2 linked regions of the Oryzias latipes genome follow. Each later gene encodes a partner of the first gene's protein in a complex. Links are inferred from orthologs where the notes say so. Each region holds a gene or a part of one and is shown on either strand. Other genes may lie near its edges.

Region 1 (9,571 bases):
CAGAGTATGAGAGCAACCACCAGAAGAAATGATACCATTTAAATCATAAACTAGCCCATATTCTGAGGATGTGGTTAAAAAGAAAACAGCTGAATAATTTAAACCAGAAAATTGTAAAAATAAAAAAAAACCCAGCAGCACCCACCCCCGGGTTTTTGCGGAGCTGTTTGCTTTTGTCTGTGGTGGCTCCTTGTGAGAACCATCGCAGTATCGTCTCCTCCTCCAGGATTTCCAGCTCGTACATGTTCATCAGCACCTGATTGACAGACGACAGCCTCAGACACGCCAAAACAACCACAATCAGCCAGCTTTCCACACTTTATAGTAACTGCTGGTGGCTCACCTTAACCATCGCCGCCCAGTGGCTCTCCTGTTCCCAGAAATGCTCCTCAAACGCAGACAAACAGTCCAAGTGGTCCTGAGCTCTCTTCACGTAGTTTTTGAACACCGGAGCCCATTTCTTCAATAACTGAAAACAGAAAAAAATCATAATCAGCTACAGTCACCTCTAAAGAAATGGGATGGAATGGGAAAGCTGCTTCACCGGTAGGAGGAGTTTGACATATTGGGACGGGGTGAGCTGTGGGCCCTGCTGCTGGAAGGGGTACTCCAGCACCACTTTGGTTAAGATCTGCATCACCTCCTTCAGAGTGATATTGTAGGCATACCTATAGAGGAACAATGAGCTCCAGTGAACAAAGATGTAAAAAAAAGAGCATCAAAACTGCAAGAAGGCTCAGATTTACTTGAGAGAATTTATCTCCAGGACAAGATTGTCACAGCTGATGTTCTCCTCCAAACCTCTCTGCAGGGTCCCAAGCACCTCCAACTGGAAAACTAAACAAAATTATGCAATTCTTTAACTGTTTGGATCAATCTTCCAAAATTTAAGAAATATATTTCTGTCATAAAAAGCCCTGAGAGCTTTTTTTTGTTTGACCAGTAGGGGGCAGTCATGCAGGGCGAACATTAGGAGTGCTCACCTTTGACATCATCCATCTCAGGAGAGGGAATTACTGGGTCATCAGGACCGTCAGGCTCGCTGTCCTCACTGTCGCTCTCAGGATCCGGCTTCAATACCAAACCTGCTCAACATGAGGCAAAGAATTTAAAACAATAACACTCAATAAAGACTGGAGAGCTTTGAAACAGATTCCTACCCCATAGACAATGTGACAGCTCCTCCTCCTCCGTGTCATCCAGACTGCTGGCTCTCCAAATGTAACCTTTTCCTTCTGCCCCAACTTCTGCTGGGTTAAAAACTACAGAAAAGAAGCACCAAGTCATCTCCTAAAACAATGAAGGAGTAACAGGTGATTTCACATCACTTCAGGCCAGCACGCACCTTTCTGCTTGGTTTTGTCTTTGCCTTGGTCAACTTGAGCGTCATCGCTGAGGAACTCATCATCGTCCTCCTCCTCTTCCTCCTCTGGATGATGCATCGACACCACGGTACCCTCTGGCAGAGAAACGTTGGGTCCAATCACCACCTGGAGACAGAGTTCACGTGAATACAAAAAACCTACAGAGAAAACAAAGTTTGGGCCTCGTTTTAAAAAAAACAGAAAACTGGAAATTGATCCAAAAGGGCAGAAAAAAATCAAAAGTTTTTACATCTGCAGCTAGATTTGCTCTCCCAAAAGGTGCTGAAGAAGAGCCACGGACTGCATGAATGAAAGATAAAGTCCGTTTTGACGGTAATTTTGTCTCATTATGCTCCAATCTTTCTGAAAACAGGTACATTTGCATGTCGTTGATATGGAAGCTACAGTCCCATGTCAATCAAAAGACCACACCCTCATTTTAGCACAACTTTTCCTTGGAGAAATAGTCACTTTCAATGAGTGACGTCACACTCACAGTTGTCTTATACAGTCAGTGATGTGAACACAACCATTACACTTCAAATAAGTATAATTCAGTCAAAATCATCTCAGATTTTTAACTCACTCACTAAAGGTGAACAAAAAGAGTAAGCTGTTTAACCTTAAAGTAAGAAGAAACAGACAAAAGTTTTAGCAAGTAATGTAAGCAGTTACACAGCCAGTTGTGTTGGCTTCAGGGATGCACAGTAAAAACACGCCAACACCAGTTCTGGTGAATAATTGCGTTAACGAATTGCACTTCATGCTCAAAGTTGTTTGGTCCACACCAGAGCATGTGAGCCAACAAGAGAAGATTTTGATAGCAGCTGTGTGCGTTTCTTACGTTGTAAGCCAGGACGCACTGTTTATCGAGAGTCACACCCTGTTTGACCTGGACCTTATCGCAGACCACAGACTGACGGATCACCACATTACTCGCAATGTGGACGTCGTTCCAGATGTACGCGTGGTCTAGGATCACGTTGTCTCCTGTTGCAGGAAAAGACGAAACATTTCAGAGGATCAGACAGGCTTTGAAGCGCCGTTGGGTTAACCTGTCAGCGAGCTCACCTATAGTGCAGTTGTTGCCGATGACGCTGTTGGAGATGGAACAGTTGGCGCCGATGCTTGTGTCTCGGTCGATGAGCACGTTCTCTTCCATCTGGCTGCCGTGCCCCAGGCTGACCCCAGAGCCCCGGTACACGTTGTGCCGAGAGTATGTGCAGATCTGCCCTTCCCGGTCGGTGAAGTTGGACTCAGGGGTGAGGGGGTAAACCCATCGGCGCACAAAGTCCGACGACACCGAATCATACATGAGCAGGTTGGACACACGCACGCCGTAGCCATCCGTGGTGACGTGCATATGGATCTGGTTGCCCAGAATCTGAATAGAAACAGTGAATTACTGTCACATGCAGAAGGACCAAAGACGGAAATGAAAGTACCACTCCGATCATCCTTTGATCTATTAAGTCTTCCTAGTGATTTTTTAATTATGATTATGCCGTTTTTGACTAAATCAAAATAACTATGCCAGCTCGGACTAGGAAAACTGTGAGGTAGATGGATCTAGTCGTCCACAAGAAGATGCATCAGAATAAGGCGGAGCAGGGAGCTTGTGGCCCGCCGATTGTAGCCGATCTACATCACAACTACCGTATTTTCCGGACTATAAGTCGCCCTTTTTTCATAGTTTGGCAAGGGGTGCGACTTATACTCCGCAGCGACTTATATTAGAAATAAATTGAAATAAATACATTGTTAACCCTCCTGTTATGTTCATTTGTGAGGAACAGAGATGATGTTCCTGGGTCAATTTGATGTATGAAGTATGTTAAGTGTTAAGAGTATGTTAAGTGACTCAGAGAATCAGCAAACTTTTTTTACAGTAAGATCTTGAAGGCTAACAACATAATATTCTATTTTCCAATGATTTCATAGATTCAGAAATGCAATAAAATGACAACTGTTTCTACAAATACAGGATGAAAACAGAGTATTAGTTCCCCAATGATGCTTCATGAAAGGAATAAATTAATAAGTATGAGAAAGAATTACTGTGAAATTATGAGAAAACAGTCTGCTATGATTGTGTCATATGAGGTTGTGAAACTTATTAGTTCTTGGTCTCAGATTTTGTCAAATAAATTTCCTGTCAAAATGCGACTTATAGTCCAGTGCGACTTATAGTCCGGAAAATACGGTACAATCTTTTTCCAACAGTAGCTTTTTCTGTCTGCTCCTCATTCACAATCATTTGAATAAAGAAAAGCAGTTTTAATCTTAATTTTTTTATATGCCCTCCATCATCAGAAAAATGCCACAAATACACATTAAAAACACAAAAATTTAGATTTTCTTTGGAGTGGGTCTTTAAAAAGCAATAATTAGATTTGTGGAGCACCTCTTCGTTGACCAGAATTCCTCGAACAAAATCATCCCTAGTCTGGTAGTCGAAATTATCGGTGAAGAGCTCAGCAACCTACAAAAATATAGGGAGAAGCGCATTAAAATACAATAACAAAGATTTTATTTTTCTATTTTTGTAGCAAAGCTGACCTGTGGAGAGCAGATGCTGATGTGACAGTCCAGGAGGTCATGTCTGATTTCAAACTCATCAGTTCCACAATGAAAAATGTTCTGCAGAACACCAACAGTGTTTAATTAGTCAAATCCTTAAAAGGAGAAAGAGCAATAAGCTAACCGTGAAACCAGAGTTTACCATGGGAAACTGCAGCTTCCTTAAGCCTTGTGTCTTCTGGTAGTGTAAAATCTGCTGACTCTTACTGTCCACAGCTACAATGACATCATCTTCCTCACAGCGGGATCTGTGACCCGGAGACGACTCCTTAAACATCATGGTCATCACAGAGATGTTCTTCTCCATCTTTCGCCGTTGCCTGACGAGAACAAAATGCTGAAGAGAAAAAATCTGCAGAGAATCCAAAGGGGAGCGTTCTCTGAGGGGATCTACCTGTGCTCCTGCAGCGCCTGACTCATGTCGATGTTGGACACCACGTCTCCATAAACCAACACAAAGTCAGATCGCACCAGGGACTTGGCGTCGACATCCCTGAGGACATCCCCAAGGGAGCGGTACAGTTCTGAGGTGATGATGTGGACTGTGTTTGAGGAGGTGGGTCGACACCACTTTGATTTCCTGTAGGAGAGTGGAAGGTTCAAACAAAGAGAAAAGACATCCCTAACACTGACGGAAGCTATCCAACTCACAGTAAATGCTCCTTGATTTTGCTGGCCATCCAGCAGCAGAACACAAAGGTCTCCTGGACTCCAGTGGAGGTCAGGAACTCCAGGGTGTAGTCGATCATGGCAACATTACCGAGCGGCAGCAAAGCCTGGCATCAACAATCACAATCTGTCAGCAAAGCTTTTAAAATGTCGAACGTCAATCTCAACATGTCCCATCAAGATATATTTAAAGAACATTACAAAATAGCGCTTTAATAGTTCGGGAAACACTTGATAACATGTGCAGCTCTTGTCAATTCCGAGCATGGACATTATAGCCTCCATTAGCATCCCGGGTTGTCTTAGCTCGCTGCTTACCCGCGGCTGGTCTTTGGTTACCGGGAAAAACCTCCGGTTGAAGCTGTCAGCCACTAAAACGGCTTGCAACGGTTGTTCCTCGTCTTCCTGCTCACCTGCGCCTTTCCTACCCGACATACCCGAGCGGCTCTGTTTTCCTCCTCTAGCAGCCATGTTTCACAACCTGTCGTCACAAACCACTACGGCGAGCACCAAGAGGCAATTTTAGTCAGTGGTCCGCGCTCCGCGCCTCATCTTTTTGGATACTTTTATATATATATATACAGCTTACACACACATATACACACACATAACTGTAACTGCAAACTGTTTATATATTACAGTTTCAAAAAATATTTATATATATATATATATATATATATATATATATATATATATATATATATATATATATATATATATATATATATATATATATATATATATATATATATATATATATATATATATATGTGTGTTTTGCAAATCGCAACATTGATTGAACGTTAATAATAAAAAAAATTGAATCTTATTTACTTTTTCTTATGGTATAAACAAAAAAATCATAGATGAATGTAAAATTGTTTGCATTTTTCTATTTACTGTAATGTATGTTTTGTTACGCAAATGCCATTCCATGGCATCCTCATAGTTAATGTTTCCTTGTCCTGTGTGTTTTGGACAATAAAGTATGTTTGATTTCAAGTACTGGTGACCAAAATTCCTTTCTAAAAATCACAAAGACTTTTGCCAGACATAAACAGAAATTATTTGGGAGATTACATTTTTTATTAGACTACATATATATGTTTTGATGTAAAACTAAAAATAACCCAAAAACAACATAACACGCCTAATTTTCTTGCATTTGAGGCCTTTGGTGAAACAATAGCCTACTTTATTGTCATCTGAATTTTTTTTTTAAAGATGAAGAGTTGTATCCCCTTATATAAAAAAAAAATGATACAGGCAGAAAGTTTTTACCGCAATCATTTATTTATATTTCAAACATTCTTTAGCATCCACTTAGTTTAAGGTAAATTTAAGTGTTTTATAGAACTTCAAATTCATTTGCAAAATAAAAAACTAATAACAGTACACTGAAAAGTGTACAAAAAAATGTAAAAAAGAAATAGGCAGATGGTGCCGCGTATCAAAACAGAACCATCAAAACAGAGAAAAAGTTTCAGGTTGGGTTTTGAAGCGTGAATAAATTTGGCCAAAATTTGCATTCCATAAATGTGTAGCATTGTAGTTAAACTTAAGTCACAATATTCATGTTGCTGAAATATACTTAGATGTAAACGAAAGCTTTAGGAAATACTGATTACTGAATTGAAGAAAAAAAGTTTGAGAAAACAAAAAAAGAATAAATGCAAGGTTTGGTGAAATTTGAAATTTATACCCAATTTTTTGTAAGTTTTTTTCCAATTCTTTTCACCTTATTGAATTGTGAGTACATCGAAACAAATAGATTTGAAATGTATTGATTTATTTGACAATTTATAATTTCATTTTTTCCGCCAGTTTTTTATTTTCATATCTACTCCTTGCACTTTCATTTCCTTCATTTGACCTTTTTTTTTTTATCATTTTCACCCATCATAGTTTTCAGCGTCAACAATAACAATCATCGTTTTATAATAAGTCACTGTTCATAAACGAGAGAAAAGTGCAAGTGAGAGAACATCATAAACAACTTTTGATCCTTTTGCAGACATAAAAAAACATCAGGCTTCTGCCTCACATAAGTTTAGACAAAAGCCTTCATTCGATGCTCTGCCAAAGCTCAGCAATCTTCTATGATGCTCTCAGTGCCTCACTCTTCTCATATGACTAAAGATGTTTGGTAATCTTCTTGGCGTGCTCCAACACAGAGTTGTATCTCAGGGTTTTTTCCCTCCAAGATGCTGGGATTCCCTCAAGACCAACCTAGAATTAGCAAATGCCATGAATTACACCAACAGCACTGACTTGTAACGGAATAGTGGCTAAATTAGGCAAATGATCTGACCTGAGCCCCCAAACATGCTCCGATGAAGGACCCTCGACTGCAGGTGCACCCACCGCAGCTCATGGTGTCTCTGACAGCCGTCTCAAAGTTCTTGGCCGTTAGGACTCCGTGCAGCGCTGCCTGGAATGCACCTGGCAGACCTAAAAAAATAATAATAAATGCAATAATTCATAATTATTTGAGCCGAAGTTCAAAGAATTAAGATTTTCTGTCACCAGAGACGCTTAAACTGTCAAAGTACCTCATGTGTTTGGGAACACTGTGGGGATAATCTCCTGGGGAGTCTTTGATAAATGCTCTTTCACCTGATGAATGTGGCCTGAAATAACAACAGGACATGACGGATAACAGCATGACCCAATCTCATGACTTTATCAGTAACAAAGCAGCAGTTGATCTCACATACCGACCACCGCTTTATCCAAATCCTGAGGCTGCTTTCTCTTCAGATCATTCAGCTGATTCAGCACTGCCTCCAGGGCTCCCGGATCAGCACCGTTCAAGATGAAATGTTCCAGAAACCTCAAGAAATGAATTGGGGGATTTTATTTTATGTATTTATTTTTATTGTAGCTCTTTATTAAATCTAAATTTGAGGATAAGTGGGATAAGTTTACATCATCAAGAGTGGCACTGAAAAAAGATAGATAATAATATAAGGATCTATCCCATTTCATTAGTGCCACCAGGAGAAGAAACATGTTAAAAACCTTGCTGCCCCCAAAGTTTCTGCAACACATTCGTCGCTGTTCTGAGTGACGCGGACGGCCTGTTCGACCTTCTCCAACATGTCAGGCTGCCCTGCATAGAAAGCCACAACAGGAGCCAGCTTGGCTACACCGTCGATCTGACAATCCGTCTCACAGCCTGCAACAGAGAAGACACGTCAAGTTTGTTTGTTTTAATAGCAGCAAACTGTTTTATTTTATTAATTTATTTTTGGAATAACCTGTTTCCTCTTTTCCAGCATCCATATTCTTTATGAAACTCTTCAAACATGCCTGCCTCCATGGTCCCTCAATGGGCAGCTGAGGTCTCGGCCCTGATGAATTTAAAAACAAACATTCTATGAGTACAAAGATTTTCTCCTTAAGGGAATACCATAATAGTAAATGCAGCATTTCACTCCAGAGGAGCTGAAAAGATCCGTACCGGTTTTGTCTCTGTACGGATCATTGATGGGTGTGTCGTACTCTGAACCCGGTCCAAAGAACTTCATTGTGCGCTGCTTTAGATGTTCAACGTTTAGACCTAGAAGACGACAGTGATCAATGAATCATGACGGGAGTTAAAATGACATAAAATATAAAATATCCTCAAATTCATAATTTGTTAATTGATTAAAATTTGGTTGATCAATGCCACATGACTGGGGCGATAAAAATCTCATTTAGTTGTTTTGCGGAGCATCTTTGTGTTAAAAATCTACCACTTTGTTGGGTCCAAATACAGATATTAGGAGAGACTGGCTCACCTCCACATTCAGACAAGCTTTCCAGCAGCACATAAGCCTGGTCTCCGTAGCAACTCTGCTCGCCCGTCTTCCTTCGGTAAAAAGGGTTGGCAGACTCAGAACGGAACTCTGGGTTTGAATCCTGAGCCAGTATCCCCTTCAGCTTCTGCAGGTCATAGACCCAGTGCAGAGGCTGTGCTGTAAATACATCATCCAGTCAGTTTTTTTTTTTAGTTCAGACGAAGATCTTTACAGGTAATAATTACTTGTTTGATTGGGTTATTGGGGGAAATGTGATAGAAATGTGAACAAGCTGTTCAAGAGCAAATACTGATGTGGTAAAAGGTATGCAGGATCCTTTGAAAAATAATGACACAAGTCCAACTCCGACCATCTTTTGATCTATTGTAAAACCATTCCCAATGGTATTTTAGTTATGATTATGTCGATTTTAGCCAAAACAACCCAAAAAACCTGGGTCGTTTCCTAGAACATCGTTTCTGCAGAGCGGCTGGAGCTCATTAAACATTTGCCTTGGAGTAGTAGACACAATAAACCCAATTTTCCTTCGAGGGGGTGTTTAAAAAATGTTATCCGACTGAATTAGATGCAGAATAAACAAAATGATAACCAGTCAAAAAAATTACCTGCAGCATCTGCAACAGCTGATCCAACAATGGCTCCTATTGCCCTGTCAGCCACAGCTGAGGCCATCTGTGGAGAAAGGAAAAGTCTTACTGAAGGACTTTGTTTGGCTGCTTTCCTCAAAAGTTTATGATCAAGGCTGGAGCTGACACTCCTTAAAGACCTTCATTAGACAGGAACTTACACAACAAGGGGTCACTAAAGGTCACGAGTACTCACTGACTTTCTATTTCATTTATTTTGATAAAATAATGTGATTTAAAAATAGATCTAAAATGGATTTTGGCAAAGATGTGTGGTAAAATGTAAACAAAAACAGCCAACACTCTTGACAGTTTATAGCCTATATTAAATAGAGCTGCTAAAATTAAGTAGACCAAACTAATAATGAACGAACAAAGAACATTTATCTACTTACTAACTAATCTACAGTGCCTAAATGTTATTATTATCTGATCATCTTTGCTTATCCTACACTTTTATTGCTCACTGTTTGCAGTCTAAACTAACGGATTCGGCATTTTTTCAGCGTTTTTCAACATGATAGAT
Region 2 (9,571 bases), about 6.7 Mb from region 1:
TCAGGAAAAAATAAAGTATGCCGCCAGTAATCTCTCTTTTCAGCAATCGGCAGGAATGACGTACCTCAAGTTTACACTGATTCCTGTAAGCATTTTGTTTGATAGCTTTCACCAAATCCTCAGTGAAGACATGAGGCTGTTTTTCAGTGTCTGCCCTGTGCCGATGCATGAGTCTGACAGATGGATGGATCTCCATGCTGCGATGGGGTAGAGTTCTTCACTCGTCACCATGCAGTGTGTGAGCGTTTGTAACTCAATGCCTCTAATCTAGCGAGATGCTTGAGGGATTAGGACCTGAACGCTTCTCCCTGGGAGCATGCAGGAGCAGGAGTGCAGTTTGGTGTGCACACATGTTGACATACCGAGCATCTATCAAGGAAATCTAAAGCAAAAATAACACCAATCTGTAAAGACACGAAAGAAAACATTTAAAAAAATTTCCATGTGGAAAATGTATGATTATGAACAGACAAAAATACAATCTTGTATTCCTAAATGTGTTTTTATTTGAGCAGATTTATACGCATAAAAAACAAGCCTCCAGAACACCCGTATTTTGAAAACCCCACAAGTTGACATCATATTAGAGAAGAAACTGAAGGTTCCCCCTAAAAGAGGTCTGCAATGATTTAGATCAAAGTTGTTCTGAGTAATAAAACACACAATTACTTCCTAGGTTAGACGTTTGGCACAATTGTATCTAAATTAGTAATGCAAAATATGTTAAACAAGTTAGCATAATTTGCAAAGTTCACATCAATGAATTTTACTGATAAATATTAGAATATTTGACTCACTGGTGTGAAAAAGAGAACTTAACCGTTTTCTAAACAAGATAATTTCTCTTTCAAGTGAGTTGTTGAATTTAAAAGAGCTATTGATTTAGATCTACAAATAATCAAGATTATGGACATTTATGATTCAATTAATTTAAGTAAACATTGTCATTTCAAAACCAAAATAGTTGGTAATGAAAAACAGTTTTCAAAGGACAAAAATGAACAAAGATGGAATTTTCATTAATACACACACAAAAAAATCTTGATTAAACCAACAGAATAAAAAAAAAAAAGAGCAAGAAATTCAATTTGTAAATTACATCCATAAATATGCATCTTCCAAGGGAGGATCATATTAATTATCATCTTAAATCCAGTTTAGGGATTCAGTGCACATATTTCATGAGAACTCCAGCCCAGAATTCCTCTGTTATTGCTTCCCGCTCCTGTTAAAATCACTGCAACTCATCACGTCTCTGCAGAACTGATGAGCTGGATCAGAGGTACCTGAACACCACAATCATGGTGCATCTGCAGCTCCTCAGTGGAAAAAGGGCTGCCCAGCAAGATGTGACATGCAGACAATTTGTGTACCTGTTTTGGGTTTTTAATAGAAAACAAGAGGCTGCTGTTTAGACAATGGCTGCCTTACCCTGGTCCTGAGGCTCTACTACCCTGCCTATACTTTCCAGTTCTATTGATTACCTAATCTCACGTGTCTCATCATTCTGATTGACTATACACACCTGATACAGATAATAAGAAGCAAAAAGTCCAAAAAATAAACAGTAAAAACTAAAAAGGCAGGCTGGGCAGCCCTGGTCTGGAGCAATAGATTTCAATAAAACACTGCCTTTCCTAATAAAGGCTTACAGTTGCAAAATGCAGTTAAGCTCCTGGAGATGCGGATTGTCGTGAGATTATATGAAATCCAGGCAGAATTTAAGGATTATAATCCAAGTGAGTTAGAGTACAATAATGCTCCCTAACTTCAGGAGACTGCAGCAGGACTGATGAAAACAGCTTCAAGAGTTTCAGCACAAATACAGACCAAATCTGGTGGTCCAAAGGAAAAAAAAAAACAAAGTAAAATATCACAAGACACAAATCAGTACTTTTTTTTCATCCATTCCTTGGCTTTGGATGGAAGAAAAACAACCTGCAACACCAGCATAACTGCTGAGTTTATCTTTCATAGTTTTCATTGATGTTGGCTGGTAATGAAGACTGCAGGATCTTTCATGCTCCAGTTTCATCCTCCATCAATATTTTGACCCAGATGTATCTTTTTTTTAATCAGTTATTGCTTTTTCTCAGATTTACACCACCACTCTAAAGTACAGCTATTTTATCTTTGGTCTTCAGCTGAAGATCATTCACTCTGCAACAGCAATCAGCTTTATTCACATTATGCGGCGCTTGTGTTCCTATTTTGTTATTTTCAGAGCCACTTCGCGAGTTCTCAAACAGATTCACCATAAAAACAGTCAGTGAAAATCCTACAAAATAAAAGCCTGTAACCTATGAGCAGTTCAAACTGTGGTTGATGATGGTTTAATCCTCCCCTTCTTATTTATCGAATCAGGAACAAAACGAAAAAAATGTACAATACCAACATTGAGTTTAAATAACTATTATGACCGTACGACTCAAAACTCAAGTTTCCACTAAACCTATGCAAGAAAACACACACACACACCTTAATCTTCTGCTGAATGTGTCGGAGAGCATCAGCGGTGCCCATGTCTCCATCCTCCTGGATGCAAACCACATCCAGCTTCATCTTCACGTCCACCTTTATTTTGGGGTCCATGCTCATCATCTTCTGCACTTCTTTTGTGGTGATTATAATGACCTCTGAAAACACAGATATGATTTTTTTTTTTTTACATAGAAAAAGTTGCCAAATGCATTTGCTTACTTAAAATCTAATTTGGCAAAATCAGTCATCTTCCATCGAAGCTGAGATTATACCTCCAGCCTTTTGAATGCACATATCAATCAACACATACCAGTCTGTCTACATTACTCAGCTCCATCTGCATAAATAGTTTTTAATGGGGATTTCTTCACTCTAGCTGTGACAGGCCAGTAAAATCTAATTGCATAGCTTTGGTTAGGAGGCTGCAGCCAGTTAACTGTCGGCCACACAGGATGATTACGCATTGAAAACAAGTCTTATTTAGGTAAGTAAGAAACTACAGGGTTTTACAACAAACAGTCTGGCTTACTGTCTGCAGGAAAAGATCCTGTATAGATTTAAAAACTTGCAGCACAAAAAAAAATCCACTTTGTAAATCAAATGTGGACATTCACAAATCAAACGTGGACATTCACACCAGTCAATGGATACAAATTTCCTGACACGCAGATAAAAGCATTAAATTGAATGTGCTTGATGATGTAAAGACAGGACTTGACAGCAGAGCTATCAGTAAGCATTACAGCGGAATACTGTCAATGTACTAAAGCTCGATTTAGCCATAAATGGTGGTTAAGCTGAAGCTACACTTTAAATACGGTCACAAAACTATCAATATGTAGTTTTACTTCTCCGCATATTACAATGAATACAATAAGGTAAATAAATATTTTGATTTCAATGGTTTAGTTGGATAAAGGGGAAGCAACATACTAATCTAAATGTAAAAAATGCAATAGTTTTCGGTAAAATGTGTTGCATAGTTCTATAGGTGTGTTGTGGAAAGTGTAATCTAAAGTCAAACCGATGGAGGGAAATCTCTGTTCTGAGATCTGCTGTAGAGCCTGTACATCTATACAAAATGTATTTTCAGATTATTCAATCGATTTTGCAAAACCTTGATCTTACTAAAGAAAAAAAGCATTCAAGCCATTCTTTTGAAACTTAGCTTAAGCTTGTAGAGTCAATTGTCATTTTATCACTATTCACACAAACCTTTTGCCGTATTACATCATTTTATTTTATTTTTTGTTAGTCTAAAGAATACAAAATGTTCTGTTCAGTAGCATTTAAAGTTGTTGATCATTAGAAATAAATGTACAAGCGATTTCTTTGTATTACTTTTCTCCTATTATAGCAAATGTATGTCCTAATATATTAAACATGCAAAAAAATAAAAAATAAAATAAAAACTGGTTGATCATTTTCCAAGTAATTATATAGAAAAATTGAAGGTGGTTTCAGTGAGCCTGTAAATTCAAGGGGTATTTTTTGTCCATGGTGAAAGAGTATGGATGGAACAGCTAATTGACTCTTATTGTAATATAAATATATATTTTTTGTTTATATATTCTTTGGTTTTGCCCTCACCTTCAAATCCTACCCTTTCCAGCAAGTTCAAGGGATACCAAATGAGGGGCTTGTTGCCAACGGGCAGCATTGCTTTAGGGGTGTTGTATGTTAAATCAGTCATCCGGGAACCACCACCCGCCGCCATCAACACCGCTTGGAGCTCCATGATGTCTGCAGCAACGGGCTATGGAGGACAGTCACCACCAACACAGAAGGACAAGGGTTAAAATGATGTTTATTGTTCAAAACTCCTATTCTGGACAGTCTGAACTATAAATACTGAGCCGTTCTCCAACAAATTCAGTACAAAAAGTGATGCTTTTAGTGTTTTCTCTACTGAAGAAAATAAATAAATAAAAACTAAACAAAGACAACAGTATGTCATCCACTCAGTTAAACCCTTAGGATGATTTTTTTTTTACTTAAGGAAAACTAACTTTAAGAGGAAATAAAATATCATTAAAGTTGGTTGAGCTGATTTAAACTGTTGATGAACTCCACTAGATGAAGTTAAAATATACATGTATGGTTTAATTTCAGATATATCAGTTATTAATATATTTGCTGCTTTTACTGAGTAGCAAATGAATTGTAAACTGAAAAAGACTTTGGAAGTAGATTCTGAATTAGTAAGAATGACTTAAACTTAAACTCATTTGTATAAACACAATTTAAAAATCAATCAATGAATAGAGTTTAAATCACATTTATGATTACTCTCTAAGAGAGTCAAGTGATTGAGATAAATTAGTAAAAATTAAACATCCGTTTATTTGTGCGTCTTTTTTGTTCCGTATCCAACTGAAGGATTCAATTATCTTCAGTTGTACTAATAAAAACAACAGCAACAAATCTGTGGTAATCCAAGTAAAGTATTGCTAGCAGGGAGAAGTCTCCGAATTATCAACATGACAGTTTTTTATGACACGTTAAGACCGTTATGCTATTAAAGACTTAGAAATATTCAAAATATTAAAAGTGTCTTTCAAACGTACCTGTTTCTTTGTTTTGATTACCGGCGTGGTAGGGGAATGAGCTGCAGACGCATGGAAGACGTGTTCCTGTCACTGTCAATTGGCTAACTCTGTTAGCAACTAGCCATCAAAGTTACCGCCGTTCTGCAGATAAATCAAACCCATTTAAATATGACTCATGGACGATAAACATCTAATCGGATCAGACTGGGATCCTGACTAAAATAAAGCTAAACAGTTAGGTCATTTACAGCAAACGCTTAAACAAGCTAACAGCTAGCATTGCATGATGACACATTGTGGTGTTCAGGAAAATTCATCCGTAGTTAAACAGTTTCCTATACAAAGTGGTTCCTCCAGCCGCCACCTTTGGTTAGTAAATAACAGTACACCCAAATTACTGCTAAAACAACAACAACAGCAATAAAAACAACAACAACAACAACAACAACAACAACAACAACAACAACAACAACAACAACAACAACAATAATAATAATAATAATAATAATAATAATAATAATAATAATAATAATAATAACGTGAAACATTTTAATTGATCAAATGCTTCAAAAAAAAAAGATGATTTTTATGTATTTGTATTGATTGTTGGTTCAGTATAGTTTGATTTAGTAACAATGCATCAAACCGAAGTTGTTGTCTACAGACCCACCACACTATATTTGTTTGAAACTAAAGCACTCCATCAACAAAAGTATATAAAAAACAAAATAAAAGTATAAACATATTTTTATACACTTTTGCTGATGGAATGTGGTTTCAGCAACCAAATGTAGTGTGAGCAGATTACCAGCCAGAAGAAGCCACCCACCCATCTACTGCTCCACACTTCAAGGTTGAAAACTCGTAATTCACAAAGCTGAAACTTAACAGCAAATTGAGCTTGGGGAATGTGGCTTTGGTTTTGTTTGCTCTAGCCAGGAGATGAGCTTGACTGCTCATTATGACTTGCTCAAAACCAGGCAAGCAACTAGAGAAAGAGAAGGAGAGAGGAAATGAAGGACAAAGAGACAAAGCAGCTTAGCTGCTTTAGCCCCCTAAAACAACAATACTCTCCCACAAAGATATGTGAATGCGAGTTACTGAAAAAGTTCATGATAAAATGTACTGGTTTACTGAATTTTGCTAAACTGCATAACACGCATATGTTTAACTTTTACAAAGTAACAACATCATTTCAAACTGAATGAAAACTGAAGCTTTTTAAAGTAAACTTCGTACCATAGCCAAATAGATCTGGTTATCATTAAGAAGTTTCTCGCAAAAAATGTTTAAAAAATGTTTGTCCAAGGTCACTTTCCTTGATTGACTTGTGCAGCTAACCCCAATCTTTGGAAAGAAGCGCATTTGCAAATCTGAAAAGGAATAGACTTTAAAATTGTGCTGTTTAGGGAGTACTAAATTTACCAACAACTTTCACTAAATGGAAACTTGAATGTCTGTTATTTTCTCCAATTTTACCCTTTAGAAGACCTTTTCCATTTTTCATGTTCAACCACAAACTTTACAAGGTGTTGTCAAAGTACAGGTGACATCTCGCTTCATAAAATAAAAACTTTTTTTTAATCTGGCAAAAAGTGAAGTTCTAATAAAAGTCAAACTGAAGTCTAAAAAGCTCACAGACATTACTGCTCGGCTGGTTAACCACAGGGAGCTGACGTGTGGGAGGCACTGCACATAACTACACCATGGAACCAGGCTGTTTCCACTGAAAGCTCACTTAACAGGATGAATTTCACAAAGGGCTAATAAGACTTCTTATAAGCCTACAGATATTTTTATGAATGGTTTCTTGCATTTTCTTTACATTACGTTTCTGGTTAAGATCTCCACTAAGAACATTTAAACCAGCATGTCACCTATCTTCATTTACATTTATACCTAACTTCTTCGTCTCTAGCCACTACAGTTTATGCACTGTTTTTTCTTCAGCCTATGCACACTCACACATCAGTTACATCACTCTTTCACCATTTTGCAGTTGCTTTCAAACTTTTGTGCTTACATTATTTTTTGCATTTAATGTTACATTTTATCTCTGTTTAAATAGTTTGTTTTTTTTTTTTAGTTTTATAATCCATTCAAAATGTTGTTTCATCCAAATATTCTTCAGTTTAGACCTTTCAAAACCAGAGCACGTTTTTCTATATCCTAAAAGTTTATTACTGTAATCCTTCTCTTTTGCTTTGCAAGGACTCCTCTGGCAGCTAAAGGCATGCACTGTACAGGAAAGCGGCAGTATATATTGCAAAGCCCTTAAAACACTTTAAGGGTTTTCCTTTTGCTAGATACAACAATGCTATTACAGCATGAAAATTTACATTTTATTAAATCAGAACCAACATTTTCTGGATTATGGTTTACTTAGACACAGCCTTTTGAAGTAAAAAAAAATCCTGACGTGTTTATTGCATGACAGGTTGATAAATGAAACTATAGAGCTAAGAGAAAAACTTTGAGTTTGTACTAATGTAAGAAATTTGACATTTGAGATTTAGGAAATAAAAGGCAATCAAGGTATATGTGCTCGATTTTTTTCTAAAAAATCAAACGATTTTTTTCTAAAAAATCAAAACGTTTTTCTATGACAAACGTTTTGTTCCATAATAGGAGTAAAAGAATAAAACTAAGCAGTGGCTGGAGGATGTGCAATCCCTCTCTCTATAAATGGAACCTCAGCTACGAGCACTGCTTGGGCTCACCAGTAAAAACTTCAACTTTCAATTTAATTACACACAATTCAGCCATAACATCAACAATTCAGACCCACAAACGTTCTTCGGCTTGTTCAGCTTGGGTTTCACGTGGAGGTTATTGTGACACTGAAACATTTTGCAGAGCTGAGGTGCCTCCCTTAGAAGGAAGGCAGCGAGTCCTGCAAAACCAGATTCTACCCTTCAACCTATAGAGCTTGATGATCTGCTGTCATAGCAGCCCTACACTCTCCAGAACACCCATCGAGGTTTTTTTTTAGTCCACAACGTTTGCTCCGCAACAGTTTTGGATGCTCCATTTCAGACATCATGAGTTTCTGTAGTGTCAGTATATTTAAACTATTTATACTTCATTGTTGCATCTGAGGGCTGTACAGTGGGGTATAGTGGTTAGCACTCTCGCCTCACAGCAGTGAAGCCATGGCTCGAATCCCGGTTGGGACCTTTCTTGGGTTAGTAGGTTCTCCCTGTGCATGCTTGACTTTTCTCCTAGAACTCCACCTTCCTCCGACAGTCCAAAAACATGGGATGTCTCTAAATTGCCCCTAGGTGTGAGTGTGTGGTCCTGCAACATACCCTCCCCTTTGTCCAAAAGTAGCTGCACTGGCTCCTGCAGCCACATGAGCCCAAAGGGAATCAAGAAGATGGATGGATGGATGGATGGATGGATGGATGGATGGATGGAAGTATGTTGCATGTCAAAACACAAATCAATCATCAGCCTTTGACAAATAGTATTATATGATCTTTTATTTCTATGTTTTATTATACACTTTAACAACTAGTATTTTAAAAGCTTTCTAAAATCAGACTATTGTAACAAATTATTCAGTAAAAATGAGAATTTTCTGTGTATAAAGACACAACTAAAATATAAAGTTAAGCAGTCAAATCTTTTTTTTTTTTTACATCATTGCAAACATCTCCTTTCAGTTTTATAGATAGCAAAATGAAAACCAGTTTATTCTGAAAAAAAGTCAATTCCACCAGAGCAGCAAATACCCATTGACCACACAAAAGAAGATGATATGAAAACATATGTTTGCTTTATTTATTTTGTTGTAAAACGTGTATTGACTGTACGGCAGACAGACAGTGACAGATTGTACATGAAATGTTTGTCCCTTTGAAATACACAAATCTTTATGTGCTGAGACAAAGTTCATTTATCTGCTGCTTTTTTCTTTGAATCAAAGCCAGATGTATTTGTAAAATACAGACACATAATATAAAGAAATGAATAAAAATGTATGGACAAAACTAAACACAATGCTGGTCCTCATACAGGACCAGATGGTTGCAAGAAACCATCAACAATTTCTAAATATTTTGGACGTTTTTTTCTTTTTTGTGTCAGAACAGCAATGATGGTGTTTTTTTCTTCTATATGTAAAGTCACACTTTTAAACGGTCATTGATCAAAATGATGTGTCTGTAAAGAAATCAATCCAGACAAAAGGTGTTTTAAAAATAAATAAGTAAGTGAAAAAACTGTTTTTTTGGGACAATTTGTGTTGTTTTCATCAGCTTTTATGGGACCCGACAGTCACTCGTGCACGTCTGATTACAGATTGATTTGACATGCAGCCATGAAAGTTCCTGAGACTTCCTCTTGTTGGCCATGCTGCAGCATCTTGTAAATCATTCTCAATTCACTGAAACAAGCCAGTTGGATTAGCTTGGTTTAGATCATAAACATTTGCAGCACAGACCACCAAGGAAGAGCGCAGAGCCAAGCAAGATTGTTCGTGAGTGTGCGTTCATCTGTGTGTACGTGTGTGTGTGTTTGAAGCGTTGCTCACATTCAGA

Evidence for each region.
Region 2: the proteins of eif2b5 (region 1) and eif2b3 are in contact, whole or in part, in a cryo-EM structure (PDB 7VLK), measured with the Homo sapiens proteins. The link is inferred for Oryzias latipes from reciprocal best matches to the Homo sapiens genes EIF2B5 and EIF2B3. Residues at the interface, in NP_003898.2 of Homo sapiens: Pro190, Val202, Arg222, Arg223, Phe224, Ala225, Phe226, Pro227, Leu228, Phe231, Gln232, Ser234, Ser235, Asp236, Gly237, Val238, Glu239, Val240, Arg241, Tyr242, Asp243; in NP_065098.1 of Homo sapiens: Arg155, Phe157, Glu178, Glu179, Leu180, Val181, Ile182, Lys183, Gly184, Leu187, Gln188, Pro191, Arg192, Ile193, Arg194, Phe195, His196, Thr197, Gly198.

The regions. Positions count from the first base shown.
Region 1 is NC_019875.2:17,625,636-17,635,206, forward strand, and holds the start of eif2b5 (translation initiation factor eIF-2B subunit epsilon), read right to left. Parts: upstream 5,183-9,571; 5' UTR 5,085-5,182; coding exon 4,932-5,084; intron 4,721-4,931; coding exon 4,596-4,720; intron 4,525-4,595; coding exon 4,339-4,524; intron 4,265-4,338; coding exon 4,087-4,264; intron 4,005-4,086; coding exon 3,924-4,004; intron 3,847-3,923; coding exon 3,769-3,846; intron 2,749-3,768; coding exon 2,436-2,748; intron 2,355-2,435; coding exon 2,209-2,354; intron 1,491-2,208; coding exon 1,346-1,490; intron 1,263-1,345; coding exon 1,161-1,262; intron 1,086-1,160; coding exon 984-1,085; intron 838-983; coding exon 747-837; intron 669-746; coding exon 545-668; intron 470-544; coding exon 344-469; intron 257-343; coding exon 146-256; intron 1-145. UniProt on the Homo sapiens protein: Acts as a component of the translation initiation factor 2B (eIF2B) complex, which catalyzes the exchange of GDP for GTP on eukaryotic initiation factor 2 (eIF2) gamma subunit.
Region 2 is NC_019875.2:24,332,835-24,342,405, forward strand, and holds the start of eif2b3 (translation initiation factor eIF-2B subunit gamma), read right to left. Parts: upstream 5,359-9,571; 5' UTR 5,049-5,358; intron 4,238-5,048; 5' UTR 4,220-4,237; coding exon 4,072-4,219; intron 2,637-4,071; coding exon 2,479-2,636; intron 1-2,478. UniProt on the Homo sapiens protein: Acts as a component of the translation initiation factor 2B (eIF2B) complex, which catalyzes the exchange of GDP for GTP on the eukaryotic initiation factor 2 (eIF2) complex gamma subunit.